Diceros bicornis minor: one gene and its partner. The protein of the gene in region 1 binds, or shares a complex with, the protein of each later gene. Links are inferred from orthologs where the notes say so. Each region holds a gene or a part of one and is shown in the gene's direction. Other genes may lie near its edges.

Region 1 (15,426 bases):
ATTGATACATAATTATTAGCTAAAGTCCACAGTTAATTCACATTTCTTTAGTTTTTAATCTAATGTCCTTTTTTCTGTTCCAGTATCCCATCCAGCATACCATATTTACATTTAGCTGTTGTATTCTTAGGCTCCTTTTGGATGTGACAGTTTCTTAGACTTTTTCTTATTTTGATGTTCTTAACAGTTTTCAAGAGTAAAGGTCAGGGATATTGCAGTTTGTTCCTCTATTGGAATTGCCTGATGTTTTACTCTTAGCCTGGGGATGTGGGTTTTGGGAGTAAGATCACAGAGGTAACAGGCCATTTTCATCAAGTCATATCAAAGCGCATACTATTAACACGATTTATGACTGTTGATGTTGACCTTGATCACCTGGCTGGGGTAGTGTTTGTCAGGTCTCTACACTGTAAAGTTACTCTTTTTCCCCATTTCCATACTGTACAGTTTGGAAGGACGTCTCTACGCACGGCCCACACTTAAGGAGTGAGGAGTTATGCTCCCTCTTCTTTAGTGTGGAGTATCTGCATAAATTATTTAGAATTCTTCTGCATGGGAGATTTGTCTCTTCTCCTACATTTATTAATTTATTCAATCATTTATTTATATCAATATGGACTCATGGATATTTTATACTTTGGGTTATAATCCAACACTACTTTATTTATTTTGTTGCTCAAATTGTTCCAGCTTTGGTCATTAGTAGCTCTTTCAGTTGGCTCCCATGTCCCTTTGCTTTGACATACCTCCCTTAACGTGAGTTTTTTTTGAGCACTTCCTTACTTTCTGGCACTACAGGATGCTCTAGACTCACCTGGTATATTTCCTACTGCAGTCCTGGAATCAGCCATTTCCCAAAGGAGTCCTGGTTGATTTTATTGGAGAATGACATTAACGCAAGATTTGAGTAATAGGTACACTGACCCTCCCTTGTTTTTAACACAATTTTTTTTTTTATCTGGCTGAGAGCTTTAAAATCTTATCTTTATCCAAAGCTTCTAATATTTCATGATGATTTGGTTGAGGAACTATTTTCTTTTAAACTGAATGATCCTCTGTGGGCCCATTCACTTGGGAGACTCCGGTCCTTCAATCCTGAGAAATTTTCTTATATTATTTATTTGACCATTCACTCTCACTTGTTCTTTGTTCTCTCTATCTGAAATTCCTGTCAACTGAAGCTTGAACCTTTGGAATTTATTTATTTATTTATTTATTTAAATTTTATCTTTAATATCCTATTGTCCATCTCTTTGTACATCTTGGTGGTTTCCATAATTTTATTATCCAAACTCTGTCATCATCATAGTCTATCATAGATAAAGATTCCAAGGGCTCTTTCATGTAGTATTCCTTTAACATAGGGCATGCTATCCTTGTTCCATGGATATATCACTCATTTCCCACACTAATTATACTGTCTTTCAATTTTCTCCTGTGCCTTGTTCTAGCTCTACATCCATAGAGTTACTTCTTTCAATAGATTTGTTTCAGTTCCCTTCTGCTATGATAAAGGCATTCCACAAATGTCCAGTGATTCTTGTTTAGCGATCACTAAGTACCCAAGTGGATACTCAGTGCATTTATGCATGTGTTTGAGATTCGGGGAAGTAAATCTTGTGGACTAGAAGGCTTTATTCTAGGACGACCCAGTAATCAGTTAACTTTTTTGCTGAAGACACCAAAATACCAATATCAATGAGTCTATCCTGTGTGATAGGTCAGGTTTTAACCAGAGGAAGATCCTAGAATCTCCGTTCTGAAATAAAAAATGTGACTACCAGAATTCCGGGTGCTGATTAAGGGAAAGAACCTGGGGCAAAAATGAAAGCTTATTATTTAGAATACAAACTTTTATTAATGTTCCTCTTCTCAGTCCAGCACTTCTCTTCATTCTCCTCTGTGTAACATTATATTAATATTCCTGATTTCAAGCCTCCACAATCCAAATTTTCTAGAGAATGTACTTCCCACCGTGAGTTGAGGAAGAGGGCAGTTAGCAGCATGGGCTAGAGTTAGACCTCAGGTGGCCTAAAGATTTTCAAACAACTTCCTGTTTTCAGACCCAAACATACTCAGTTGCAAGATGACCAGGTTTCTTCAGTTTCTGAGATTTTCTAGCTATCTGCAGAAAGGAGTAGTTTGACTCTCATGAATATCACTCCTCACAGGCAATTAGGTCAGACTTTCTTTGCTCCACTTTACTAAATCATTTATTTTAATTTTTCCATCTACATTCCACTTCATATATTGTGTTTTGATGTTACAAATGTTTCATAGTTTTGCTGAAGAGGTAGTTAGCAATTTCTAGTTTTTGCACTCCTTGTCTTGAAAAATTTGGGAGAGGAAAAGTGAGATAACTTTTAGAGCTGCCATCTTATTATCAAACCAATGAAATCTAGTACATTTGAGGAAACAAACTAGAATCTATCACTATTATTGTTCGGTTGGTTGCTCTTCAATCTTCAATTCAATCAATCAAATTTCTTGCTTGATAATTCTAATTCAGGTAGGGAGAAATGTTTATTTATGAATTTGGTTATGCTTTTGTATGTTCTTAAATCTTTAGAAGTTACAACATTTTTTCTAATTTGCTGTTTTCTAATTTGCCAATTGCAGATGCAGACATGGCACGGCAGAAGTTGCTGGTCATCCCCAATATTTATTCTTACCTTTCTCTACATTAGTAGAAACCTCAACTTTTAGCTCACTGAATAGATGCTAGAATAAGTATGACATTCCCCACCCTTCCTTCCAACCAACGTGCCTATGGAGTTAAGCTCTGGCCAACATGATATGAACTCAAGGATGCATAAAATAAAACTTCTGGATTGTAACCTTTAGTGGAATGGGCATGAATTCCATTTCATATATTCCCATTTTATACTGCCCCTGGAATACAAATGTGTTGGTGAGCCATCTTGAATCATGCAAATGAGGGTATAATGCACTAGGGATGGCAAATCAACAAAATTGAAAGAGCCTGATTGCTCATATTTTGTAACCCCGGACTGCTTATACCTTGATTATTAGGTTTGAGAGAAATAAACTTCTGCCATGTTTAAGCCACAGTTATTTTAGGTTTTTGTTACAGCAGTCAAATCTGACTTTTATATTGACATGCATATATTCAACGATTTCACATATGTACACACAAATTATAATGGATTTCCAGATAAATGACAATAAATTGCATTTTTGTAATTATGTTTGTTTTCTATTTTATGTTTTCACTTGAAAATATTCTGAGCTTCTGCCAAGCCTAGCTAGGAATTACTTGATTGATAGATGGTTATTGGATACAAAATTGCAAAGTGGAATGTATTGTGATCAGGAACATTTTGAACAAGAACTCCAGATGTGTCTGTGATTTTTGTAATCTGATTCTTGGGATTAAGGCAAACTATGAAATAAATATGTGCAAAAAATCGTTCATTTTATACTGTGTGTGTGTGTTTTCCAAATGTATGTTTGACATTTTTTTCTCTGCTGGTTTCCAATATATAATTTGACTTTTTGCTGATATTCTTTATTGACTATGGCTATATTTGGAAGATTTTTGGAAAGCATCAAACTGGAGCAATGTGTTTATATATATATATATATATATATATATATATATATATATATATCCCAGGGGATCTGAGAAATTGGAACAAGTTTAGAAATTTATCAACTGATAATTAATATTCTAAAAGGGTTTTTGCCCACTTTTTTGTAGAGGAGCCCAGTTGGCTCTTACCATCTATAGTCTGTTCTTTCATTTCTGAGAATCTCTAAGAAGCAAGCTATTTATTTTGTTCCTTTGTGACTGTTAACTCTTTACAGTTTTATTCACTGTCCAAATTCTTATAGTTCTGGAACTTGGGACACAGTTGAACACTGTGGCAAGGTTTTCCTGGAACAGTTCTAAGGAACTCAAGCTTATAAATAATCAGAATCACACGTAGGATGCTATACACATAAAAATAACGATAAGGAACTGATTCTGGTTTTGCAGCACTGTCTTTATGTAGGTATGTGAGGATGATAAAAACTGAAATGAAAGTATTATAGATGGAATGTTTGTGTTCCCTGCCAAATTCATGTGTTGAAACCCTACTCTTCAATGTGATTGTATTAGGAGATGGGGCCTTTAAGATGTGATTAGGATTAGTTGAGGTCATAAGGGTGAAGCCCTCATGAGTGGATTTAGTTCCCTTCTAAGAATCATGAGAGAGCTTGCTTCCTCTTTCAGCAATTCACCATGTGATGAGGATACAAAGAGAAATCTACAGTCTGCAGCCCAGAAGAGGGGTCTCATCAGAATGTGACTATGCTGGCACCCTTATCTCAGACTTCCAACCTCCAAAACTGAGAAATAAATTTTTGTTGTTTATAAAGCACCAAGTTTGTGGTATTTTGTTATAGTGATACAGAACCTCTTAATCTCAAGTTCCTGTGCCCAGTGTGCAGTAAGACAATCATTGAGACACTGGTGCTTGGAGACAGAGAAAGGTTTATTCGAATTGGCCAAAAGGAGAAGGGGGACGATAGGGTCTCTCAAATCCATCTTAACAAAAGAAGAAAGCAGAGGGTCTTTATAGAGAGTTAGGGGGCTTGGGAGGAGGAGCTTTGGAGAAACAAAGGGGAAATCCATGTTCCTTTCACTCCAGATAAGCCCTTGGGCAACCAGACTCCTGGGCAGCAGTGGGCAGCTGGCAGCTGGTTATCTGGTGGTTGTAACTTCCTTAAAGACATTCATTTTCTTCTGCAAAACAAGCTCTTAAATCCTTGTGACCCTTGATTCACCCCTCAGGTTAAACAAGAAAACAGCAAATTAACAAGATTAACTTCTTTTCATCTGTGTCTTTGTTGGGCACAAGGTTGAAGAGTAATCATGTTCTTATCAAATATTTACAGTAACCCTTATGTACTTGGCTTCAATAGCAGCCCTAAGAGACTAAAACAAAAATGAGTATAGATATTTGCCTGTGATGTTACAGATGACACAAGGAAAGTTAACTGGCATTTGCTAAAGAAAATATGAAGTCTTAAGAATCATAAAATTCAAACTATTCAGATAGACATGTTTCTACAATATGATTTATATTATATTCATCCTAAAAAACATCTAGGCCTGGATTTTGACAACAATTTCAAACCAATGTTTATTCCGTATTGTACCAGAATAAGGGAAAGGGAAGTAACATTGTGATGCTGAATGCTTTATTTCTCTGAGTGCCCTGGCATTCCCCATAGACAAAATTGAACTTTCTTGTTTTTATCATTTCTTTTTAGGTAGGCCTGTGCTTTGTATCAAGATTCTGCAGCCAGGAAAAATTTTCACACCTATGTATTACAGAAGCATTAAAGTATATAAGTACCAGAGATTTAGCAGAATAAAAGCAGGTCAACAAACAATTCTCATATTCTTCATGTTACGTGTGCTCTATGATCTATTTCTATGGTGAATCACCACATTCTTCTGGGAAGCACTTAGTGGATTGGGGCATTTACTGGGTACTCACTATATTACAAGCTCTACTCTCACTATTACCTTATAGCAGAGGATAAACAAGTCCCCATTATTATGCAGCATGTATATTGGTGGAACAAGACAGAAAATAAACAAATAAGCAATTGATATTTAGTATGCCAGATGAGTGTTATAGAGAAAAACAAAGCAGTTGCTAGCTATGATAAGATTCAAAGTATGAGTGTGGGAATTAATAGCTGAGGTAAAGTGGAGAAAAAGATCATCTATGAGGAAGGAAATCAGAAGCTAGGCCATTGGATGTTTCATCCAAATGGTTGTTGGCATCCAAATGGATGAAAAAGGTTGTTAAGAATAATAGTAAGAGTCTGAACGAAAGAGAATACTGTCAATCAGAAAGTAAATCCTTAATAAATAAGAGTATCCATAAAGTCAGAAGATGAATGCTAGATTAGAAGAAGAAAAGGATGAGACAGCTAGATGACATATCCTCAAAGGAAGAGTTTTGATTTGTTTGTATTTTAGGAGAATTGTTTAAGGTTTTACCAAACCTGGATGTGGTGATGTGGAGTGAGAATAAAAACACTAGGACCATCCAAACTCCTGAGAGTAACATCCTTGAGGTTAGAATAAACAGCGTCCACTTAAGCAGGCTGCAAGGAAAATAATTTCCCCAGGAGCCTATCAGGTTCAAGGGTAGCGTGATAGAGCAGGGTAGGGCATGTGGATCTAGAACTTCTACCTTCTGAATACATACTTAGGAAACACGGCTTAGAATACATGATTATAAGGTTCTTAACGCAGAAGTGTGGAAAACAAACAGCAACTGACCTTCCCACCACACACACTTCAGCCTGATGAGCAACTTAAAGGATCTCATCAGCTCATTATTAGCAGCATCATAATTGCCCAAATTAGTCAGATCGACTTAGTAATATTATCTAATAGTAATGGCAAAATATTTGCTATAGAACAACAACAACAAAAAATGGTTGTCTGACTCAGAAGATAAAGCCAATATCGTTGATTTCCCTTCTATTTGCCTCTTGTTTCTATTATAGGTTTGCACAACATCTTGGGATTAGTTTCTGTTCATTACACATTATACAGAGCAGTTTATGTCACGTATCTTATTTAAGCTTTAAAATATTTGACATTAAGTTTGTTAAGTTTATATGATGTTTGAATGTACTGAAAGATACCTAGAATTTTACTGGGTGAGAAGGGATGCATAAGTTGGGTTGCTACAAGGAAAAGTTCTATGCACTAGAAAATTCACTTGTATTGTCACCACAAAATGCAGAGAAGAGAAGCCGGTAATCCATACATTGTCTATTAAAACGAAATCAAGTCAGGGCTGGCCTGTGGTGCGGTGGGTAAGTTCACACGTTCTGCTTTGGCGGCCTGGGGTTCGCCAGTTTGGATCCTGGGCCTTGACCTACTCGCTGCTCATCAAGCCATGCTGAGGCGGGGTCCCACATAGAAGAGCTACAACTCTACAACTATGATACACAACTATGTACTGGGGCTTTGGGGAGAAAAAAAAGAGGAATATTGGCAACAGATGTTAGCTCAGGGCCAATCTTCCTCAAAAAAAAAAAGAAATCAAGTGGATGTTCGATGCTATAAAGTAATTATTGTAAATTTTTAAGTATGATAATGGTATTGGGTTTTATTCTTTTAAAGTCTTTATCATTCAGAGACATATGGTGATACATTTTTGGAGAAAATGATATGATGTCTGGACTACTTTTAAGTTAATCCAAGGTGGCAGGGCGAGTACAGACAAAACAAGATTGGCTACATGTTGACAACTGAGCTGCCACATGTTGAAGCTGTGTGATGAGTACATAGAAGTTTGCTATACTTTCTTTATATTTTTGTATATGTTTGAAATTTTTCATAACAAACGTATAACTTAAACAAACGAACAGAATACACGTAACAAGGCCTTTTCTGTGAATCACGGGTGAAACGCACTGTCCCTAACATGGTTTGCACAGAACCAGCGTTAGCTTGGTTCCACTTTACTCCTCTGTCCTATGCCTTGGAATATAAAATTTGAGCCTCTTATAAATATACATGATTTCTTTTCCTTTTTCCCCATTTTTGTTATCTTTTCTTGATGTGCAGTAGGAATCTTTTTTTAAGGAAACTTCAAGATTTTTGAACAACATAGGGTTATAAAATGAAAGTTCTATGGTGTAGCAAAATTTTTCCAAACTCTTTTTGGGAAAAAAGGTCCACCACCTGTTCCCTTCACCCCCAAACTACATGATTGCACACCAGCGCACCACTTTTCCAAAATACACATAATTTTTCCTCTGTCCCTTGTGTCTCAAATCACCAGAGTGGGAAAGAAATCTAGAGTGAGAAGGTTATAGTTGCTCCAACCCATTCTTTCCTAAACAGCTGCACACACACACACACACACACACACACACGCGCGCACACACACACACACACACACACACACACACACACACACACACACACACGCCGCTACAGCAATGTCCGGATTTGAATGCTGCAGGCTGACAAGTGCCCCTGACAAGCTCTACTGGGGCAGTTAGGAAAGGGAAGAGAGAAAGCAACTGAAGGTAAACACCTGAGTTTGCTGCCTTCCTCTCTTCCTCTCTCCCTCCTCTCCCTCCTATTCACATCCTGCCCCCCCCCCACTTCTCTCCATTCCTTCATGCCCTCAGAGTCCTCTCCCGGCTCCCCCTCCTCCCCAATTCTGCTCCTCTCGCCCCCTCCCTTCCCCTGCAGGCAGCTGGTGGAGGCGGCTCGGCAGCAGCTGCTGTTCCTGCGGCTGCAGCGGTGCCTGCAGGTCTCTGTCAGCATCACCCCGCCCACGCCCGGTCTGGATGCTCAGGCCGCACACTGGGCCAGGGATGAGGGCGGGGGAGAAGGCGGCGTGGGAGAGGGGAGAGAGGAGTGGGGAGGGCACAAAAACAGCTTCCAGGCGGCGGGCGCGGCTCCACTGCGCGTCTGGGCAGGAGGGGTCTCTGGGTCAGTGGCTGGGAGGCCGCCCCGGAGACTTGGTTTCCAGCTGGCAATTCAGTGCGGCCCGTTTACAGCGGAGCCGTGGTGGCCTGGGTGGCATCAGTTGGTGAGTGCAGACGCCAGCCTAGCAACACCTCCTAAGCAACCAGAGCTCAGGAAACCAGAGAGATCCGGGAAGAAAGAGAAACCCAGAAGGAGAAAAGGGCTCTAAAGAGTCCAGCTTCTCTGAGTTCCCTCAGGTGCTGGTGGAGACCGGTTACATGGTAGCAAGTAAGTGCCTTTTTCTTGCTGTGTGCCCAGTCCCAGGATGGGGATAGCCACCATCTGCTGCCAGCCTTTCCCACCCGCCCTTGCCAGCCCCACTCCATAGACACCCTTACCGTCCCCAGCAGGAGACTGAGATTCTAGACATCAATCAAGAGAACTACTTCAAGAGCAGCAGTGGTTTGTGGGTGTGTGTTCTGCACTGAACCTGTGGTGGTTTTTCTCATCGCAGCAGGTAAGCTTCTGAAGCCAAGATGCTCTGTTAGTGTAAAATGTCTAGAAATCCTATATGACAATGACTTTTAGGTTTCAGGACACTATGATAGACCAAAAAGAATAAAAGCTCATGCAGGATGGAGTATACTTCTAAGGACTCTCATCTTTTATCCTAAGTAACTTAGTGATTTCAAAGTTGGTGCTTTTCATGTAAGCATTGGCAGTGTAAAATTAGAGGCACAGATGTGATGGGAAATGATGTGCCCAGTTTAAATGTATAGACATTCTGGGATTGTTTGGATCAACAGGTTTTTTGTTTTTGTTTTTGCATTGTTTAGCTCTGTAAAATGCATACCTTCTGGAGGTTTTCTTTTAGACGTGATGATGTGTTCATTGTGACTCTGGTTATATGTTGCCTCCAATACGTAGGCTATCCATCAAAGTAGGAGAAATGATGAATACATGTGGAATGATGGGCTCCCTTCATTAATGAAAATGTTGGAGTCAGGTTTGGATATTGGCAAGAAAAATCTCTTGAAATGTGGAGGAGTTTGGCAGGTGCTTTTTGTGGATATTTTTCTTCCTGGCTATCGTTCAGGAGAGTAGATTATGGCAAAATAAAAGGAAGCTGGGACCTGTAATAAACAGAGTTCTGGGCACCATATCTGCGTTGACCAGCCATAATTAAAATTTTTATAATCCGGCTGCTAGTTTTACAAATAAAGAAGATAAGGCCCATAGGAATCATTTGATGAGGTTACCTGGCTAATCAATGATGAGCTGGAAGTCCAATGAAGAAGATTTTGGGATTTAGAATGATAAAACTTGATTTCCATTTTTGCGAAAACGAAGCAAGTTATTTAACTTTTGATTAAGCTTTATTTTTCTTTTATGTAAATGACACAAAAAATTTACATATCCTGTAAGGACTAAATCACAGATTACATGAAGGGTTAAGTGAAGGTAATATCATGTGTAACTGTTGCTTGTATAAGGAATTGTTCTGTTTTTATCCACTTCACTATTCTAGCTCTCACTTTAAGTCTAGTTCAATATAAGAATAAAAGGAGCTTTGACAACCCTTGCTAGAATGCACTAGAGGAAATGAAATTCAAATCCAGGTCATGATCTCTTGCCACCTGTACAGTTTAAAGTATATTCTAACCTGTGAGCCTCCATCCTTGAAAAATTGTATGCTTTGGCTAACCATTTATATTTAAACACCTTTGAATATTCTCAAAATATACTTTACCCTCTTTCTCTTTTTAGCTTTAAATTTTGTTTCAGATATGTGGTCTTACTTCCTTGGGATGAAACCATCAAGTATATTGGATATTGCTGAATTTATTTGGTCCATTAATTAATAAAGGAGAAATCAATGTTTAGAGATAAACACTCTTCTCTTGACTGCTGAGATTCACTAAAATCCTGAACTCAGGTGAGAGGTACTGTGAGCTCCTTCTTTCCCGTCGAGGTGTTTAAAACAATAAGAGAAAAGACTAAAAATGGACGTAGGCTCAGGAAAAGGGACCAATGGATCCCAGATGACATGGGCAGGCCCCAGGACCTGCTGCCAGAACTGGGCATTCTGTCTCACAGCCTCTTGTGGGAGACGCTCTGGGAGGGTAATGATATACACTCCCATTAATTTTGTCCAGGTAGGATGAACACAGATCTAAAGCATACTGTAATGGAAATAACAGGATTTTGCTCAATCCCTTACTTAGGGATGAAGAATCCTAATATGCCCCAGCCTTAGATCTCATTATGACAGGCTCTGTACCACAACTGGGGTAGTCAGAGACTGAGCCACAACCTTACACCTACCACCATAGACTCTCTATTGAAAGTTTATGGTGGGAGCATTAGCATAAAAGAGATATTCCTGATTTCTGGGATCTGGACCCATTATTTCCACTAACCAATATCAGGATTCAACAGTCGTGAGGGGATGTCTGTAAACCCTGCCCACCCTGACTAGCTATCGGCAATGCACAGTCACTCACCATCATATGACACCAACTTGTATAGACAGATCTCATTTTTCCCTGAGTTGGTCCCCTTCTCTTCTAGTAGTGTAGCTTAACCAAGGCCAGGCAAGCAAGGTCTCACCTCTGCAACACTGAAAGAGGGAACTTTTAAGGCTGAAGAGAAAGTTCTCATCCCAGGGCTTCAAGGGATGTTTTTCAGCTGATCCGTATCTCTTGGCCCAGCTGGGATCATGATTTCCATGTATTTGTTCAATCGTTGCTATTTATAAACCAGGCTTATTCTGGTTATGCTCCATCCTGGTGGGGGATCCCCCATTTGTCTGGCAAACAGATATTCCTGTTGTATGCACAGTATTCCTGACTGGGTGGACTCAGCCTGTTGCTGGCTGAGGATAACCTGCTCTGTGGACAGATTTGCTTGTGGTGGCAGCCGGGTGCCAGACTGACTGTATCAGCGTCAAACAAGAGCTTGACAAAAATGCTGAAGCTGGGGCCCCACTCAGGGAACTTCTGATTTTAAAAGTCTGAGATTAGGACAGGGCATCTAGTTTTAAACTAGAACATCAGAGGATGCCAATTTGAGGGCCATAATCCCTGGCTGACTATGTGGTGTTCAGTGGAATATTCCTTCCCTTCTGCTTTAGAGGCCAGAGTGAGGGTCCTGGTCCACCAGGCTCTCATTCTCTGAATTCTTGCAGAGGCTGCACGGTCTAAGCACCTGATTACAGGCTATAACTTTGGCTCAGATCCATATCTAGTCTCGCCCTAATATGTTTCAAGGCTCCTCTCTAGTTGCCCTCCAGTTTGAGAAGGGATTGGGTATCTATATGTTGGGTTCCACATTTGAAAGGCTAGAGTAGTTTTGCGGGGTTGGAGTAGATCCTGGGAAAGCAGGCTCTTTCAGAGTGATCAGGAGGAGAGGTAAATAGCCAGTTCTAAGAAGCCTCCAGGGTTCCAGTGAATGTGCCAGTTCTGGAATTTTTTTTAAATTTTGTATTCTGCAGACCAAGTGGCATCTAAGGTCTCGCCGTTGCTGATGAGTATAGAAGTTACACTCATAACAAGCTCTCCTTCATATTACTGTAGCAGGGGCAAGAATACATTCCTCCTTCTTGAGGTCTTAAATGGCCTCTGGCTGGATTCTTCTGGTCAGGGGTCTGACTCACTAGGGTCACAAGAACAGTTAGTTCTGGAAAGATTCTAGCCTTCCCCCAACATGCTTGTTTTGGTGGGCTGGACAGCCACAGCTTGGAAGTTGTTCTTATATCCATAGAAACAAGGGCCCCTGCTAGTGAACCATGAGGGTGCCATAGAGAAGCTCAAGTGGGCATACTTAAAACCGAGGCAGCTTTCCTTCATGGTCCTGGAACCCTTCCCTGCCCTCATTGCCTCACCGATCATAATGGCTTTTCCTGGTGAGACTCCATCCCCCACAGAGACATACTGTCCTGCGTCCCCTCAAGGCATTCAGACATCCACTGGGCTTCCCTTGGGCTCATTCTTGTAAGTGAATTTGAGACCAGGTGCTAAGGCTTTGTCATATGACACTTTGTCCAGATTTCTTCTCTTCAATATAAGTTGTACCTCTCTGAATGTGTGTGACCTGCACTCTTCCTCACTGGAAAGAAGACACTTGCAGAGACCTCAGCTCCTAATTATTTTAATGAACTATCACTAGGATCCATGTTTACCAGATTTTGGGGAGAGTTCAGTTCTCAAAAGAGAAGAGATGGGACGCGTCCCTTTGAATTTTTGCTGGTGCTTGTTTATTTACAATGCTGTGTTTCTAGTTTTTGAATCCAGAAGAATGCCTGGATTAAAATTCTTAAGAAATATAATCAAAACAAAATGGCAATGCTTACTTACGTTTTTGAGAAAGTTAGTTATTTACAATTTTTCTCTGCGAGATAACATATTACAGGAATGTGTTGGCTGAAATTGTCAGAGTGAGGGAGTTGAGTCCAGAATTAAGTGGATGTATTGAAGCCCAAATAGGCTGACCTGAGAGTAGAACACAGCTCCAGGCAGAATCTAGGTCCAGGGACAAAGGAGAAAAAGTCAATTAAGCCAGATGAGACAAACTGTCTGCCAGGGAGAAGTAAAAGTGTAGGAGCCAGATAATCAAAGCTAAACAGGAAGTAAGCAGCTCAAGTGGAAAAATAATGCCAAAGCAGAAAACCAAGTAGGTTGAAGTCAAGTGGAACAGACAGCTGGAAAATTCCAGGTGAATTGGTACCATTCTGGTATATCTGTCCTTTACTGCCAAGCCTTCAGTGTGTAAAGTTCCCATTTCTGGATTTCAGTAATACATATACATGGTAAATTATGTTCAAATAGTATAGAAATATTAACCAGAAAGCAACAGCATCCTCTGACTCCTCTTCAGTCTCTACATAGATACAGCAGTTTACTTCCTTCCACAGGCAAAACATTATGCATGTGCCAGCATATATAACGTTATGTATATAATACTTATAAAATATTGTATTCAAAGGTAAACAGTGCAAGCCATTCTCACCATTACATTTTTCACTAAATAATTTATTTGGGGAATCTTTCCATATGAACACAGATCTATCATCTGTCTCATTCCTCATTATTACTAGTGTTCCACGCTAGCGAAATACTGGAATTTATGGTACTTAGGGTGGACACTTTGATTTTTTCCAGTCTTTGAAATTGAAAGTATGTTGTGATTAACATCTTTGCAAACCTGACTTCTCAAACTTCAGCAAGAATATTCAGGGCAGTTCACTTGATGGGTCAAAGAGTACATGCAACCTTTATTTTAGAAACTGTTGCCAAGCAGTACCTCAGGAAAAAAATACACTGATTTACACTCTCACCTGAATTGTGTGAGGGTGCCCATTGCTTCGTATCCCAGCCTGCCAAAAGTCGCATCTGTTGAGAAGACTCTCAATTACGTCTCTAGAGCTTTACTGTTAAAGTTAATGATTGTTTTAATCTCATCCATATCTCTCAGAATTTCCTGAGTTTGTCATCTTTTCTCATAGCCTTCTGCTTCCTGAAAGACAATGATTATATTTTCATATCCTCAACAAGAAAAAAAGCAATGCCTCTAATATCATATGAGTTCTAAACCCTAGAGAAAAAAAGATGATAGCTCTAGGGGAAAAAGCTCTGCATCTGAGAATTCAGCTGTGAATCATCACAGATTGTGGGAAAGATGAAATATAAGCCGTAATGTATCTATGAAGTGCAGTCAAGTGGCCCCAGTGAACAAAAATGTCAATCTAAATTGGTCCCTTCACTAAAGCAGGTGTAGTTCCTACGTTCTCAACAATATAGAGTCCATTTAATGATCACGTTAATTCTGTCTCCTTCACTTATGCGTCCAGCACCTTCTAGTCCCAAGTTAACTTGTGTATCAGCCTTGTTATTACTATCATTACATTTTTTTTGTTTCTGTTTTTTTATCTTAATGACATTGGTGCAATAGCCTTAATGCGTTGTCCATGTCTGATAGAGAGCATAATTGTTTCAAAATAGTTTAGAAACTAAGTGAGAAGTCATTTTGCCCTTTATTTCCTATGCCATGTCAGAGTGAAATTGGCATTTGGGATATTATCTTTACTCTACAGATCCATTGTCCTATTTTTTTTTTTTTGCTTCATTTTTCTTAATTTATCTTATCTTGCTCTATGGCCTATATTCTTGTAAACTACCCTAAATCTTTTTGGTAAATACATTAGGAGAATAAATAAATATATATTAGCTGGTATAAAGTGGAGCATTTTGTAATTCTCTTTGGCGAAGTAAATCTATCATCTATTTCTCATCCCTAGGATCAACTCCAGCTTCCCAGAAAGCATAGAGGTCGATTGTTTAGATACTGAGGTTTCAGTTCCCTAAGGTGGGAAAAAATGAAAGTGAGGAGGCTGTGACTATCCTAGGCAGTCACCTCCTACACGTGCAAAATCTTTCTCCACGGCCTGACTGCATCACTGGTAGGCTCTGCTCTGGGAATCAAACTGAAGGACAGGGGAAGCAATAGGGTGTGGGAGAAGGAGAGAGGAAAAACATTGACTTCTGACATCCTCTTTCTTCCCTGTCCTCCATTATCACCAAGAAGATGCAGCTGCAATTGCTGATACAGAATGCTATTCACACAACCTCTTCCCTGGGAATTAAGCTACAGAGAGGCCAAACACTGGCTCGCTGGTTGGGTGACCGTATCATTCATCATCCTGTCAGGCAACTCAGGATGCTTTTGAAAAGGAAAGAGAATGCCATTAATAATTAGTGCTGAACAACAGGCATAAACCCAAACTGTCCCCAGAACCCATGACTTCTGGTCACACTACTTAAATATGAGATTGGATGGGTTGGAAATAAGACGAAAGAGTGGAAGGAAAAAGATAGACTCATTATCTCGAAGGAAACTGGGAGCAACAGGATAAGGTGGATGTCCCAGTTGCATTTCTTTGATTTCAAACTTTAGAACTTTTTTGC
Region 2 (14,926 bases), on another chromosome or scaffold:
GCATTAAAGACTATTTACTTAAACTTATTTTTCCAGCATTATCCACCATTATTTCTCTAAATGTGTCCAGTGATCAGATAAACTAAATCATTCACTTTCCCCATCTCAGGTCTGAAATTTCCTGCCTCTATACTTTTGCTCATGTTGTTTCCTGTCAAGAAAATCATGCTTTTCAATCACTTCCTGTTGAAATCCTATCTTTGCTTGAGGAAGGTTTTAAATGTGCCTCTTCATGTACCTTTTACTGCTGGAGATGCAACCTACCTTTCCTCTGATCCTCTATATTTTACTCTTAATCTACTTTGTATCATAACCATTCATAAATGTGCCACCTTCTCACCACTGATGTCTTATCCTCCCTACAGATTGTGTCCTTAATACTATTTTCCAAGTTCTTTTCTAGTTTCTGCAAAATCCAAAGATGAATAAAAATTTTCCTAATTTCCCTGGAAAATTCAAAACTACTTACCCAAAGGAAACTTGTATTAATGTTTCTCATTCCATTCCCCAGTGCATGCTTCTCATTCACCCAGAAGGTGAGTGAGTTCCTATTGCCCCTCCTTAAAGGGTGAAGAATCTAGAGAAAGTGGGGCCATCTTTACCACTATGGCGAGGGGGAGTGTTTTCTCGAAATCCATGTTGGAATTCAGAATGCAAATCTTTGCCCTAGATGGAAGACCACAGGCTAGTGGTGGAGACAGATCCCAAAGCACCCAGTTACAAGGTTGTTTGACAAAAGCTGTGGTAGAATTGTGTGCTATGGGAGCTGGGGGAGCCATCTCCATGATGGAGTGGGAGCAGGGAAGAATAAGTCTGAAGGCAGGATGAGGGAACTTCACAGCTATTCAGCTCAGTCAGGTTTTCTCAGCATGATTTCTTTAATCCTTCTGAAACACAAAGTCCAGCACTATGCCTTTCCCAAACACTAGGCGTAATCCCATCCTCAAGTACTTACAGAAATGCAACAATTTTTAAAAGCTGTTATTGTTCCATATCGTCTGGATATACAGGCCCTTCCCTTTCCTCCTTTGAGTCCTGGAGTTGGTGTGTTGAGTTCTTCCTGGCCACACACAGCTGCCAGGGGATATCTGGGTCCATGGTGAGCGAAGCATGCCAAAGAACGGAAAGCAAAGAATTGGTGGTTCTGCCACATACAAGTTGAGTGGCCAAGTTATTAAACTTCCTCTTGGATTTAGTTTCCTAAAAAAAAGAAGATGGCAATAGTGCCTACTCCTTATTTAAGAAGAAGGCAGAAAAAATAATATCTATTAAGTTTATGCTAAGGGCCAGGCATTACATCAGGTGATTTATATATTTAATTCATTTAATCCTCATAAATAGCAACAAGGTAGGTAGTATTATTAGTCTCATTTTATGGCTGAAGAAACTAAGGGTCAGAGGAATTAAATAATTTGCCCAGGGTTACAGAGGTAACAAGCAGAGTATCCAGGATAAACCTATCTGACCCCAAAGATATCGCTTTTCCATTACTCCACTCAGTGACTCCAAATCATAACCTTACTTGAAAACAGCAGTGTCATTCAGTGACAAGGGCCCCAGATTAAGAACCTGGAGAGTGCCACTTGCATCAACAAGGTGAGCCACTCAGAACACCCCTTAACCTCCAATCTACCATTCCTCTTCTTTAGGAAACGCTACTCATCTTATCAAGGTTGCACTCAAATATTACCTCTTTCAAAACTTTCCCAGCTATGCCCCCACCACCAGCCCCAAAGAATAATCTGTGACTCCATCTTCTAGGCCATCTGTATGCAATAGTCCTTACCACACAATTTCGCTGTTATTGTTTTAAAGTCAGAGACTAGTGCAATACCTGGCATAGAGTAAACACTCAGAAAAAGTCTGAATGAAAGAATGAAGTGTAACAGTACACAAGTCATTTAATCTCTCTAGATATCAATTTTTGCCGTCTTTAAAATACATGAATAGTCTCTCATATCTCACAGGTATATCAGGAGAATTCAATGAAATATGTTGTGTTCTTAAAAATAAAACCATTAGGGCCGGCCCCGTGGCTTAGCAGTTAAGTGAGCGCGCTCCACTACTGGTGGCCCGGTTTCCGATCCCGGGCGCGCACCGACGCACCGCCTCTCCGGCCATGCTGAGGCCGCGTCCCACATACAGCAACTAGAAGGATGTGCAACTATGACATACAACTATCTACTGGGACTTTGGGGGGAAAAAATAAAATAAAAAAATAAAACCATTAGATGAGGCCAAGATGTTGTTCCTTTTACAAAACAAAAACAGATCAACAACAAAGATGTTTTCATTCATGTTAATCCATGTGAGCTCTCTAAATGATAAGTGATTATAAGATTCTTGACCCTGCAAAGAAAAAAGGAGAGAGAGAAAGAACGAAAGGAAAAAAGAACACAAGATATGTTGGATTTTCTCATGTCTATTTACTTAGATTCCATACTTTTCCATCATACTAGAAGTTTTACTAGTAAGGTAGTTATATCTACTTTTTCTCACATATATATACATATACACACACAGTACTCAGCTTTGAACTTCACATTACATAATGAGTCATTAACTTTCTGACTGATTTGCACATGGAAGTGTCTTTTGATGGTGAAGGTCCTATAGGAAGAAGTTAAGTCCTTAAGACTTTGGGGACAAACAGCTTTGGATTTGAGTCATAGTTCTGCTGTATACAAGTTGAGTGAGCAAGTCATTTAACTTCTTTTATATTTACTTCCTCAAAAAAAAAAAAAGAGAGAGAGAGAATAATAATAGTGCTTACTCCTTAAAATTGTTGTGAGGATGAAATAAGTTAATCCACGTAAGGTGCATAGTATTGTTTTGGGCCAAAGCCTGCCCTCAAATAGTATTATGATTATGAAGATAATGCTGTTGATGATGAAAATGACAACAGAGGCGATGGTAAACCATGAAAAGCTGATTATTTCTCATCATTCTGAAGTTAACAGCTGAGCACATCTCTGTAAGGATTAAAGAAATAATCTAAACAGGAGCCTAACATCTTTTGATTTTATAGGGCTTTACAAAATCCAAAACACATCCACCCGATATTATTCCATTTGTGCTCCCAGCCCCTCTGGGAGGCAGACAATTAGAGAGAGAGAACTGGTTCAGAGACGTGGAGTGAGAATATCAGCAGCATCAGAGTAGAAGTAGCCGGGGACATAGGCCTCCCGTCGCTTACCTGGGGCTCATTTTGTGGTTTCTTTGTCTCCTTCTTCAATAATGTTTCTGATGAGCATTGAGTCAGTCAGGGCTCAACTGTTGCTCCTGCCCCAAACATCAGAACAACAAGAGCATCTAGATCAGCAGCTAGGCAATAAGGACACATTTCTCTAAAAGACTTTCCTTCTCCGTAGCCTCAGCGCCTGAGCCACATGCATGCCAGAAATGCATAAAGAATTATGCCAGCCTGACAGCAATACTTGAAATATATTATAACTTTTCTTCTGAGGAGCTTGAAGTACTTTATCATTATATTTATATTTTCTTTTTTTCTCATTCAAATGTTTGGATTATCATAACTACCTATAGACAGCTTTCTCACCGATGTGTAACCATGCGCTTCCTGGAGGCTGGTTACGAACAGTGTGACACTGGCTTCTTTCGTACACAGGTTGTGTTATGAGTCGGCGGTGGGCCCTCCTGAGTGTCAGGAAAGTTCTGGCTTCCCTACTCATTCAGATGAAATTCAATTCAATAAACATTTTTGGCCCCATCTTACCTGCCAGATTCTCTGCCATGTGCAGATCCAGGAAGGGACAGCATAGTCTGCTCATCATGTCACTGTTTCCTGTTCTAATCCCAAACTTCCCTTGGCCGGTCACAGTAACCACACAGCTGGCAGGCAGGATGAGGGAACGATCTGGGGGAGCCTGATATCTTTCAGTTCCATATGTGCTTTTTGGCCACAGTTTAAATTGAACATATTTCTTTCCTCTCCCTGTCTCACGGGGTGTGCACTATTTTTCAAAATCCACTTAGAACGGCAAAAGCAGGTCACTTGACTTGCCTTCCTTGAGCTCTGATTTCTGCATCTTGACTCTTAGGTCACGTATGTGTTGATCTTGAAATGCTTCTCCTGGCATTCTTCTGTGCATCAGGAAGAGGCCCACAGTGACTCCAGACCGTCTCCCTCGTCCCCAGTTCCCCTGTCACTCCCCATCCCTATTCTCAGCAGATGATTTTGCTTCCTGCCTTTCCAAGATCGGTATGCGTATCTTATGGTCTCATACTTTATCTTTACTCACAGTGTCACTGCCAATACTGTTCTCTCTAATTTTTCCACCATAATCTTAGTGAAATGGGTTTCTTTCTTCAGGAAAACTAACCTCTCCATGCACATCTCAGATGCCATTCCTTTTTCCCTGTCAAAGTTATTCCTTCCCCATCTGTGAATACCTCAGGCCTCATACTTCCCCCTCCACTTCCTCAGTCTCTGAGCATAATTGTCTGGAGTCCCCTTTAAGGAAGAGAGTCCCTCAAGTCCAGATATTCTCTCTTTCCTTGCCTATTGTGGCATTGCATCTTTCTGGATCTCCTCCCATTTCTCTGACTATTCTTTTTCTATTCCCTCTATTGATTATGGCCTCAGCTGTTCACTCTTTCCACACTGTTCTCACTCATTCATCCATCACAGATCTCACTATGATGATCACTATGATATGATCTCACTTGTTCATTCACTCATAGAGGATCTAACATCTGCCAGTTACCAATGTAGGCGTAGGAGGACAGTAGCGAACAGAACAAAGGAGGCTGCTTTCATGGAGCCTACATCCTGATAGGAGAAAACAGAAAATTAGCAAGTATGTAAATTTAAAATAAGATAATTTTGGATCGTGAGAGAAGATATGAAGAACAAGAAACAGGGTAGTGAGATGGAGAGTAGCTCCAGGTTGGGGAACTGGACAGGAAACCAGTTTAGAAAGTGTGACCACTTTCTAAAGTGCCACTCTAAGGAGAAGTCATTTGAGGCAAGACTGGAATGATACGAGACCAGCCATAAGATGAAGAGCATTCTAGGCAGAGGGAACATCTGGTGCAAAGGCTCTAGAATGGGAAAAAGCTTAGTAAGTTTGAGGCAAGTTTTTAAAAAATTAAGTGTAACTGGAATATTGTGGACAAGACAGGGAATGGTAGACATGCGTGTGAAGAGGTAGCCAGGGCTCAGGGCAGGCCTTGTTAGCCATAGTGAGGAGTATAGATTTTATTTAACTGCAATGAGATGCCATTGAAGGGCTTTAAGCAAGAAATGTGCATGATCTTACAGAGACAGAGTGCTCTGACTACTGTTTTTAGCCTAGAATGGATGGTTTCACCTATCAAATGTAAGGGGAAGATGATCATCAAATTGGAAAAGGTTAAAAAAAAAACAGCCAAAAAGAGTTGAAGCCAAAATGGCAAAAAGAAGGGAGGGATAACTTAAACAAGTTAAATGAGTTAAAAACTCTCAGAACAAGGCCAAATGTACTTTAGGGAATGCAAGGTACTTGCAAAAGTAATGAGAGCCACTGCCAAAAATCAAGAGAAATGTCAGAAGACTGAAAAGACCAAATGCTCCTGTTTTTAATAGAGGAGAGACAGAGGAAGTGGCTTATGCAAACTAGAGACAAGTACATTGTTCCTAAAACCTCACGTAAAATCCTCAAAGTGAATATTTAAAATGGGATTGATAAACATTTAGAAAACAACATTGTGATTATTAGGAATTAGCACACATAGACGTAAGAAAAAATCATGTAATATTAAGCCAATTCCTGCTGTGGTAGTGGCAGTGTTTGTAGCGATGGTAGTTGAGAGAGTTATCAGACTGAAAATATCTTGGTCACTCTATGTATTGGGGTGAGACTTTCAATAAAATCATTATCTCAAAGATAATTGGAACTTTATCAATAATCTATTCCAAATCTTTTTGTATGTGTGTGTGTGAGGAAGATTAGCCCTGAGCTAAGATCCGTTGCCAATCCTCTTCTTTTTGCTGAGGAAGACTGGCCCTGGGCTAACATCCATGCCCATCCTCCTCTACTTTATATGGGACGCTGCCACAGCAGGGTTTGATAAGCGGTGTGTAGGTCCGCGCCTTGGATCCGAACCCGCAAACCCTGGGCCACCAAAGCGGAGTGTGCGAACTTAACCACTAGGCCACTGGACCAGCCCCTATTCCAAATTTTTAACCTATAGAAGATTTTTTTTTCTATGACATCTCAGTAATTCTTTGGATAGCAACTGCTTGAACTTAACAAAAGGTAAGTCATTCGGCTTTGGAACGGTTTGAAAGATATTGCTGAAAATCTGTTTCCATGTAGATGTAAACCATTGATCCTACCTCTTTTCTTTGGATCATTATAAGTCTAATTCCTCTCACATATACCGTTTGTTTTAAATTTGCAGAATGTGTCATGCTATAAATATGGAAAATAGGGAGATATGCTTGGGTATTTGTTTGTGATTGAGCAACCATACCAAAGAAGTCTAATCAGTGGCTTGTTGCCAAGGTAGAGTGAGGTCTCTAAAACCATGCCAAAGGACTCTTCTTTGTTTTTTTCCTATCCACTTTTTTTAAAATCTATGTTTGGACCAAGTGATTGACAAGCCTAGAGATGGAAAAAAGCTAAAGAAGAGAGATATGTTGGATGATTGAATCTGCATTCAATAAAAATATGGACAGGATGTGATAATTGGTTGAAACTAATAAATTTTAACAGCAATAAGTGCAGAGTTTCATAAAAATTTTTCCAAAATTACCTGTATAAGTACAAAATGACTCTGCAACACATCGAGCGAAACATGCTTAGGGATTTTAACTGACCATAAGCTTACTCTGAGTGAGATATGGCTGTAAATGTATTTGAAGAGGCATACTCTCTAAGCAAGTATGGCCATAATTCCCCTGGATTTATGCTGGTCAGACCACACAGGGAACATCAGTTCCTGTTCTGGATTTCACTTTGAGAATCATGCCGAGAAACTAAAAATCCTCCTGAGAAAGTGACCAGGGTGGTTAAGGGTTTGAAACTACTAGGAGATACACTGGAAGAAACTTAGGAAGCTTAGCCCCAAACAAAAAAGTCTTAGGGGTGGGGTCTGGGGAAGCATTGCTCTTTTAAGGAAAACAGATTGAGGACCTCTTAATGGAGTTTGAGGAGGGAAGAGAAGTAAACAGAACTCAATCGAACATAAAGAACTTCCTTAAACAACTGAAGGGACTGACTTGTGAAGTAGTAAGCTCTTATCACTGACAAAGGTCAAGACTGTTCAAAGGAATGTTCTTGGGGGATTCATGAATTGGAAAGGAGGTTGAGTTAAGTCAACTTGAACTTCTCATCCAAATCTAATACACTATGCTTCAAGGGCTGGTCTTCAAAACAACATAGAGTTTATGGCCTGGTGGCTCCCTGCCCAGGAAGAAGATCCTGCCTTGGGGACATTCTGTTGCTCTGTGATATGTTAGGAGGGAGAATTTCCTGCATATGGTTCAGTTACAGTCAGCTGTTACCCTGCCGTTCCTTTTTGGAATATCAGTGTCAAGCTTCTCCTTTTGGAAAGGGAGCAGGAGGGGATGATAAGCTGGGAGCAGAGAGGTTCTTGTATTAACCTTTCACTTCAGTTTCAGGCATTCCTAACCTGTTATGTCAATTTGAGTCTATGACTGAATTTAAAGGTTCAGGTTTCCCTTCCAGAGATGGGGCGCAGGCACTGAAACAGCTGCTAGGACTAGGGAGTGGCTAATAGTTGGAAGAAGCCAAACCACAATCTATCGGCTTTAAACTAAAAAAAAAAAAAAGTGATTAGAGCGAGAGGGAGTTGCCCCCTCCCCCAACACCACTTGCGCTGACCTTTGGATCACCTCACCGAGCAGGAGGTGAACATGGGAACAGGTGCGCCTCACCCCTACCGCACTTCTAAAGAGGGATTGTCACGCTGCGGTCAGTGTGCCTGGAACCAATTAATCGAGGCTAGACGAAGGACAGACTGGGAGAACAGGAGGGGATGGGGTCCGGGGAGAGAAGCCGGGAGCCATGTACGGTGTACACTGCAGATGACATCATTGCCTGAAAGAGATTTTGCCCGCCCCTTCCCGAAGCTGGAGGCAAGCATGTCTGTGCGGGAGCAGGAGTGGGGTGGTCTGGAGAGTGAATTGGTGGGAGGTGTGATCGTGCTGGGGCGAGGTGTAGAGATGTGCAAGGCAGACCTGGAGACAGCCAGCGAGCTGAGAAATCGCGGCGGCGGGGGGTGTTTGCGCTCTTCCGGGCTCCGCCCCCCGCTCAGCGCCGTGTTCGGCCCTGGGAGGGGCACGCCTGTTTGGGGGTGGGGAGTGTGTGCACGAGGGGGTGGGTCCGTGGTGGCGGTGGGGGTGGAGAGCTGCCTGCGCATGTCAAGGCTGACTGAGCATACACGGTCAGGGGGGCCTGGAGAAGGGCAGCTGGTCACCCGCCACCCAGGGTCGGGGCCCCGGCACGATCCGGGAGCGAGCTCTGGGGAAGGGGCCCATCCTCCCCGCCGCACTCCACCCCCCGCCTCTGAAATTTTCAGCCAAACAAGAGCTTCCGCCTCCTCCCCTGCCCCCTGGACCTCCCCGGGGAGCCGAGGGCGGGTGTGGACGGCACTGAGGTGGAACGAATTTTGTAGCTCAGACGGGTGGCCCCGGTGGCTTCGGGTGGACACGCCCAGCTGGAGAAGCCGGTCAAGGCGGATGACGCCGGCGCTCCCGGGTCTTGGCGGATCCTGGTCGGAGCGTAGCTGTTCCTAGGGCAGGTGAGAGGTGGATCAGCATGGAACCTTTCGACAGCCCGGCCGCCTAGAGCCAGCCATGCTGCTCGCTTCCGAGCTGAGCTTTCTCCGAGGCGCAAACAAGAGAAGCAGCCGTGCAACTGGAATTTGAAGTTCCGGGGTGGGCGGGGAAGGTACTGTCCGTGGTGCTGAGCCGGATCCCAGCAACGGGCTCCGGGGAGAGCGTGCGAAGCTGCTGATCTGCTCCCTCGAATTGGGGCGGTCGGCTAGGGTAGCTTGGAGCTGAAACCCCCACCTGGCTCAAAAAGCCTGCAGAGCCTCCCCAGTCACCGGCGCTTGGCCCTTATTTCAGTCAGAAAGTCGCCCCCTTGGGGCAGTTCGTCCCAAAGGGTTTCCTCGAAAGTGTCTGAGAGGACGCAGTTCTTGACCAAGGGAATCTCTCTGTTTAGCTCTGGAAGTCACCCACCGAAAAAAGATGCCTGCTTTCAACAGATTGTTTCCCCTGGCTTCCCTCGTGCTCATCTTCTGGGGTAAGTACCAGCACCCTGCCATGTGAAATGCAGATAACAGTAATAACGCAAACAATAATAACACTTATTGATGTCGTTGGTGACAAAAAGGAGCCCTAGTTGGCTTCCCTCTGTGCACGTCTGCCAGACATGGAGATCCATAAGGGGTTCCATGAAAGCTGGGATTTTAAGACTGGAAAAATGCCTCCCCGCTTCGCTGCTGCTTTATTCTGGAACCTCCCTTGATGTTTTTTCCACCCCTCCTCCCGTTTCCTGTTAATTCCAAGGTATTTTTTTCTGTTTCCCTTTGCTGAAAGGGAATGCAGTCACGTTCATTATAAAAAATCTCAGTTGCAGTTACATTTCATTTCTCAATGAGTCGTCAATGAGTCTTCAAATTAATTTCTACATATTAAAAAAAAGCTGGATGCATGCATTTTAAGAGTGAAAATACTTCAATTGTTGATCCATCTGTTTAATTGTAATAAGGAAAACAGGTTTCAGCCATTTGTACCTATGTATTAGGTAAATAGGCACCTGGGAATTGCATCTTTCTTCTTTTTTGTGAACATGTTGAGCTAAGGTGCTTTGGTGTTTGGGGAGCTGGGTTTTTTGCTTTCAAAGACGAATAGGTTCTTGCTTGTCTGCTGTGGGGGAATGAGGTGACCTTCTCACTCCAAATAAGGGAGCCCTGCACTTACAACAGCAAGGCTAAGCAGAGTGGTGTCAGAGATGAGCTTGCAGCAGGGTGCCTGGATGTGTGTAGAGGGAATTAATGAGTTTACGTGATAATGTCTGAATATGTGGTTGAGAGAATGCTTTACTGTGTCAATGTATGCCTCAGTGTTTGAACGTGTGCGCTAGTGTATGTCTGAGCATGTTAGTATGGGCGTCTGAATGGCTTGGTGAGGATGTAGTTGTGTGTGTGTGGTGATTGTGTAATACTGGGCATCTCTGCCTTGGTGATTCTGATTAGATCTTCAGGTGAAATATAGAAGCTCTTCAGTTGATATATTGCTTTATATGATCTTAGCTACCTTCCTCCATGCTAAAAATCAGTAACCAAGATAATTAGAAGTGATTGTGCGCACTTGCCCTGTTGAAACTAGACATGTGGGATTATGCTCCCGTGGTTGCATGAAACTCATTCTGCCTGTGCAGCTCAGATATGCTGATAGGAATTGCCTCTTTGCCTTAGTATCACTTTATTAAGCATCCAGGACTAACTCTGGCAGCCAGCATTATCTGGATTTTGCCTGTGACTAGAAGCAGAGCCAAGCTTCCTGTTGAAGAAAATGCCTGATGAGAGAGTGCTGGGGAGGACAAAGAGGGAGAGTAACGCCAGTCCCAAGGACAGACTCCCTGCCATCCATCCCCAGTAGAGTAGACCAGACCTGAAGATGAAGCCGACATAATAGGTTGCCAATGATGTCACCTACCTTGAAAATTTAAGGCTGGGATTTCCTCAGGGGAGGCTAAGCCTAGGGACATGAGGCTTAGGAGAGATTAGTCTGGCTGGATAAGAAAGAGTGTGGGTAAAGCAATGGGAGATAAAGTTGTAGAGGAGGGTTGGGGTGAGATTCTACAGAGCCTTTCTTCCCAAACCCTAATTTAAGTTTTCAGCATCTCTGCCTGAATTCCAGTGGAGGAAGAGAGCATGATATTGTCCAAGGACCTTTTGACTAGGACTTACAAAACCTGGATTGGGGTCTTTGCTCTGCCACTAGCTTGCTGTGTAACAACCTTAGATTATCTAGTTCCTCATATCCAAAGTTTGGAGGTTGGAGCAGATGATATCTAACATCCTTTTCAGCTCCACAACTGAACGGTAGGGAAATATTTACAGAATATAGCTAAAATTGGCAGTGTGCGCACATTACACCCATCCCTCCTCATTCTCAGCATCTTTGTAATCTGAACATTGGTTCACCAAACTGAAAAGCTGCAGCGAGAAAGAGGGATGGTTCAGGAAACTTGGCTATTAAATGTAAGAGAAAGGGCCTCGCTTCAGAAATATAATTTCATTTATTTGCATGTAATTCTCGTATTGGAAAGCACTTAGCGTAGATGTGCTCTTCTTTCCCAAGCTGATTTTTCACATGATGCAAATATGAATGGAAAGAACTTTTTCCATTCTTTTATTTTCTGCATGTATTGAAAAAAGTTCCCTTATTTCCTTTAATAAAGTATATAGTAATAATAATAATTTTAAAAACCCTACATTTGCCTGGTGCTTTACAGTTTACAAAGCAATTTTCAATCCGTTACTTCTTTTGGCCCCCATATCAATCCCACGGGGATAGCCAGGGGAAGTAGTACTATTTCCAATTTAGAGACAAGAAAATGAGCTCAGGGAGGGGAAAGGACTTGCTAGAGAACTCTTGTCTCCTGATTTCAGTCTTACAGTGCTTGTTCTAGCACCTCTGATGGACACATGTGCTGCTGTGCAGGATTGCCTGATGGGCATCTGTCCTCTCATCCCTCTTCTGAGCTACCTTCCACTCCTCCCCCATGCCATTACCTTTCCTAGGGTCTCACTCATCCCTTAGCTCCTAGTGTCCTCTCTGCTCTTCCTCTCTAGGTCTGCTCTCCCAGATGTCCGCTGTGTTGGGGAATGTTTTCCTCTCTTCCCCAACTAGCCCATGTTGCATCCCATTCTTTCAAGGCTCTGCTAAGTGACTGTCTAATCTGATAGACTAAGTCATTTCAAGGTGTTAATATTTGCAAATAACTTCATTTATTCCCCCCTTTTGGAAAGTATTTACATTCTAATCAAAGCCTTTGTTATGTTAACACAAAAGAAAGCATTCTAGAGCAAGTTTAGGAGGGGCAAGATAGCAATGCCCAAAGACGAGAAAAAGATTTGGGGTATTAGAGGTGTTGGTTCAATACACATTAGTATCTACCTCGTTATAGATTGATGCTATTCCTTAGTTAAATATAATCATCATTAATACCTCATATTCTTCCTTCTCATAAGTTTCCTCATTATTACTATGGACATTGAAGAGGAGACCAAAGGTCAAATGATTTGGCCAAGATTATTCCAGGAGTTTATTATTTACAGTCAGCAATGTGGGTTGAACACCTACCATACATACAACCTTTTCTTGGATATCTAGAGAATTTCATAGAAAGAGAGGCAGTGGTGTACTGGAGACTCACAGGGTGGAGAAGCAGAATTCACTTCTTGATGGAAGGAGCAGCAAGTCATATTGCAAAGGGCAAGCAAACAGGGATGAGAGGATTTTGTGGCCATTTTGCAATGTACTATCTAGGACCTCATGAGCAGAGTTCTTATGCCTTCAAACTGGACTTTGGCCGGGAGAAGGGAATCAGTGGGGCTTGCTCTCTGGTGATACCTTGGATTATTATCATCTCAGGGGCAACTTAGGAAAAAGAGAGCTCCCATGCCATATTCACCATCCTGACTGCGTATATTTTTCCCTTCTTCCTTTAACTGTAAATGAGCTGTGTCCTATATTAAGACTAACTCATCTACTTGTTCACTAGAGAACATCACCTCTCACCTATTCAAGGATGTTAGTGCAGCAAATTATTTCTTTTCAAACCCCAACAGCTCCACTACTACCTTCATCCAAGCAAAACCATTGAACCGTCTCTCAGTGTGATCACTGTACCAACGTCTTTTTTTTTTTTTTTTAAGATTTTATTTATTTATTTTTCCCCCAAAGTCCTGGTAGATAGTTGTATGTCATAGCTGCACATCCTTCTAGTTGCTGTATGTGGGACTCGGCCTCAGCATGGCTGGAGACGCGGTGCCTCCGTGTGCGCCCGGGATCCGAACCCGGGCCACCAGCAGCAGAGCATGCGCACTTAACCGCCAAGCCACGGGGCTGGCCCTGTACCAACCTCTTAACTGTCCTCTTTGCTTCCACTCTTGTCTTTCCTCACCTCTTCAGTTCATTCGCAACATGGCAGTCAAATCATGCAATTCTGTATAAATCATATCATTCTTCCACTCAGCACCCTCCAGTGCTCCCCATGTCACTCTAAGCAAAAGCCAAAGTTCTAATCATGGCTGACAAGACCAGCTATGATCTGGCCCTGGCTTCTCTCTCCTACCATGTCTCCTTCTATTCTTGCTTTGTTCCCTGTACTTTATTGTGCTCTTTGCTTTCAATAAACACACTTCCACCCTTGGACCCTTGAGTTGCTATTTCCTCTATTTGGCACACCTTCACACAATTATTCATATAGTTTGCTCCCTCATTCCTTTCATTCAGTGCCTGCTTGATGTCATCTTCTCAGTGAGGCTGTCTCCAATCATCCTATGCACTCTCTATCTCCTCTGCTCTGTTTTGTTTTTCCTCATAGCGCTCATAACAATTTAGTGTTGCTTATCTTCTCTCTCCCTCAACTAGAATGAAGGCTCCATGAGAGCAGGTGTGGTTTCTGTTTTGTTCCCTGTTGTATTCTCAGTGTTTAGAACAGTGCCTGGCATACAGTAAGCACTTGATATATTTGTTGAATATATGAATAAATAAATTAAAGGTAAAAATAACATTAACAAAGTGATATTTGTACAAAGTATGTTCTTATAAATTATTCCATAGGATTCTCATGACAAATCTATTAGATATTATTTTCAGCATTATCTTAATGAATAAACTGAATCTCAGAGAGGTTAAATAGTAGATCAAACCCAGGCCTTCAGTTGCCAAATACCATCTTCATCCTGCCTCTATAACTGTAACTGTATATTCTTTGGTACATTTTCATATTCTGCTCTTGAAGTCATCATTATTGAACTAGCTTATCTTTACCACATGTCATTAAATATGAATGTGCCCCAAGGCTCTCTGCTACACAGAGTTCTCAGTGCACACTCTACACCTCTGCCTACTCAAAACTTTTGCACAGACAATGTCGTCGTCGTCTTCTTTTTTTTTTTTCACCAGGCCTATAATCAAGACTTCAAACTCATCACATGCTGAAGATGTTTCTGATCAGTTCTCCCTAGTTGTGGACCCTTTCTCCGCTAAAGTGATGGTCCCTGTGCAAAAGCAGGAGACTCTCTTGCACACTTCCTGAGAAGACCAACCCCAGCTTGCCTGAGAGTTTTAAAATCAATTAAATTTATTTTACCTTGACATTTTAAACTTTATCATAGTGCCACTAGTTTTTTTTTTTTGTGAGGAGATCAGCCCTGAGCTAACATCCGCCAATCCTCCTCTTTTTTTTTTTTTTTTTTTGCTGAGGAAGACGGCCCTGGGCTAACATCTGTGCCTATCTTCCTCCACTTTATATGGGACGCCGCCACAGCATGGCTTACCAAGCAGTGCGTCGGTGTGCGCCCGGGATCCTAACCAGCGAACCCCGGGCCGCCGCAGCGGAGCGCGCGCACTTAACCGCTTGCGCCACCAGGCCGGCCCCATAGTGCCACTAGTTTTTAAACTCTGTATTTAAAAATAAAATTTGTTGCCTTCTAAGTCAGTCAAATACAGTATTTCCTTTTTTGACTCAAAATTAGCCAGTCTCATTTTAAGCTCTAAATAAAGCTTTTTTCTGCTTTTAGAAAGAATTGTCTGCCAGTAGATGAACAGACTGACCATTTACAGTGGACTAGTTCTTAAATGACAATGTGTATTTTCATTTTTTTAGGGGTTCTGTTTTTATTATGAATTCATGAGAAGGTAGCATCAGAAGGG

What was found.
Region 2: the proteins of SCN7A (region 1) and SCN3B are in contact, whole or in part, in a cryo-EM structure (PDB 7TJ9), measured with the Homo sapiens proteins. The link is inferred for Diceros bicornis minor from reciprocal best matches to the Homo sapiens genes SCN7A and SCN3B. Residues at the interface, in NP_002967.2 of Homo sapiens: Arg269, Glu293, Tyr296, Leu298, Glu299, Leu305, Gln315, Cys316, Pro317, Glu318, Gly319, Tyr320, Asn922, Ile923, Thr926, Cys927, Lys929, Ile930, Phe939, Ile956, Tyr957, Asp959, Gln960, Ile966, Tyr970, Met973, Ile974, Tyr977, Ile978, Leu981; in NP_001035241.1 of Homo sapiens: Val25, Cys26, Val27, Glu28, Val29, Arg44, Ile46, Lys50, Arg51, Glu52, Glu53, Val54, Asn95, Gly96, Ser97, Asp99, Gln101, Asp102, Phe126, Phe128, Ala130, His131, Pro133, Val135, Thr154, Ser155, Ser158, Glu159, Met162, Leu165.

Annotation. Positions count from the first base shown.
Region 1 is NC_080749.1:48,485,382-48,500,807, reverse strand, and holds the start of SCN7A (sodium channel protein type 7 subunit alpha), read left to right. Parts: upstream 1-8,528; 5' UTR 8,529-8,752; intron 8,753-8,871; 5' UTR 8,872-8,981; intron 8,982-15,426. UniProt on the Homo sapiens protein: Sodium leak channel functioning as an osmosensor regulating sodium ion levels in various tissues and organs. While most sodium channels are voltage-gated, SCN7A is not and lets sodium flow through membrane along its concentration gradient.
Region 2 is NC_080746.1:13,824,855-13,839,780, forward strand, and holds the start of SCN3B (sodium channel subunit beta-3), read left to right. Parts: upstream 1-8,425; 5' UTR 8,426-8,769; intron 8,770-9,194; 5' UTR 9,195-9,220; coding exon 9,221-9,275; intron 9,276-14,926. UniProt on the Homo sapiens protein: Regulatory subunit of multiple voltage-gated sodium (Nav) channels directly mediating the depolarization of excitable membranes.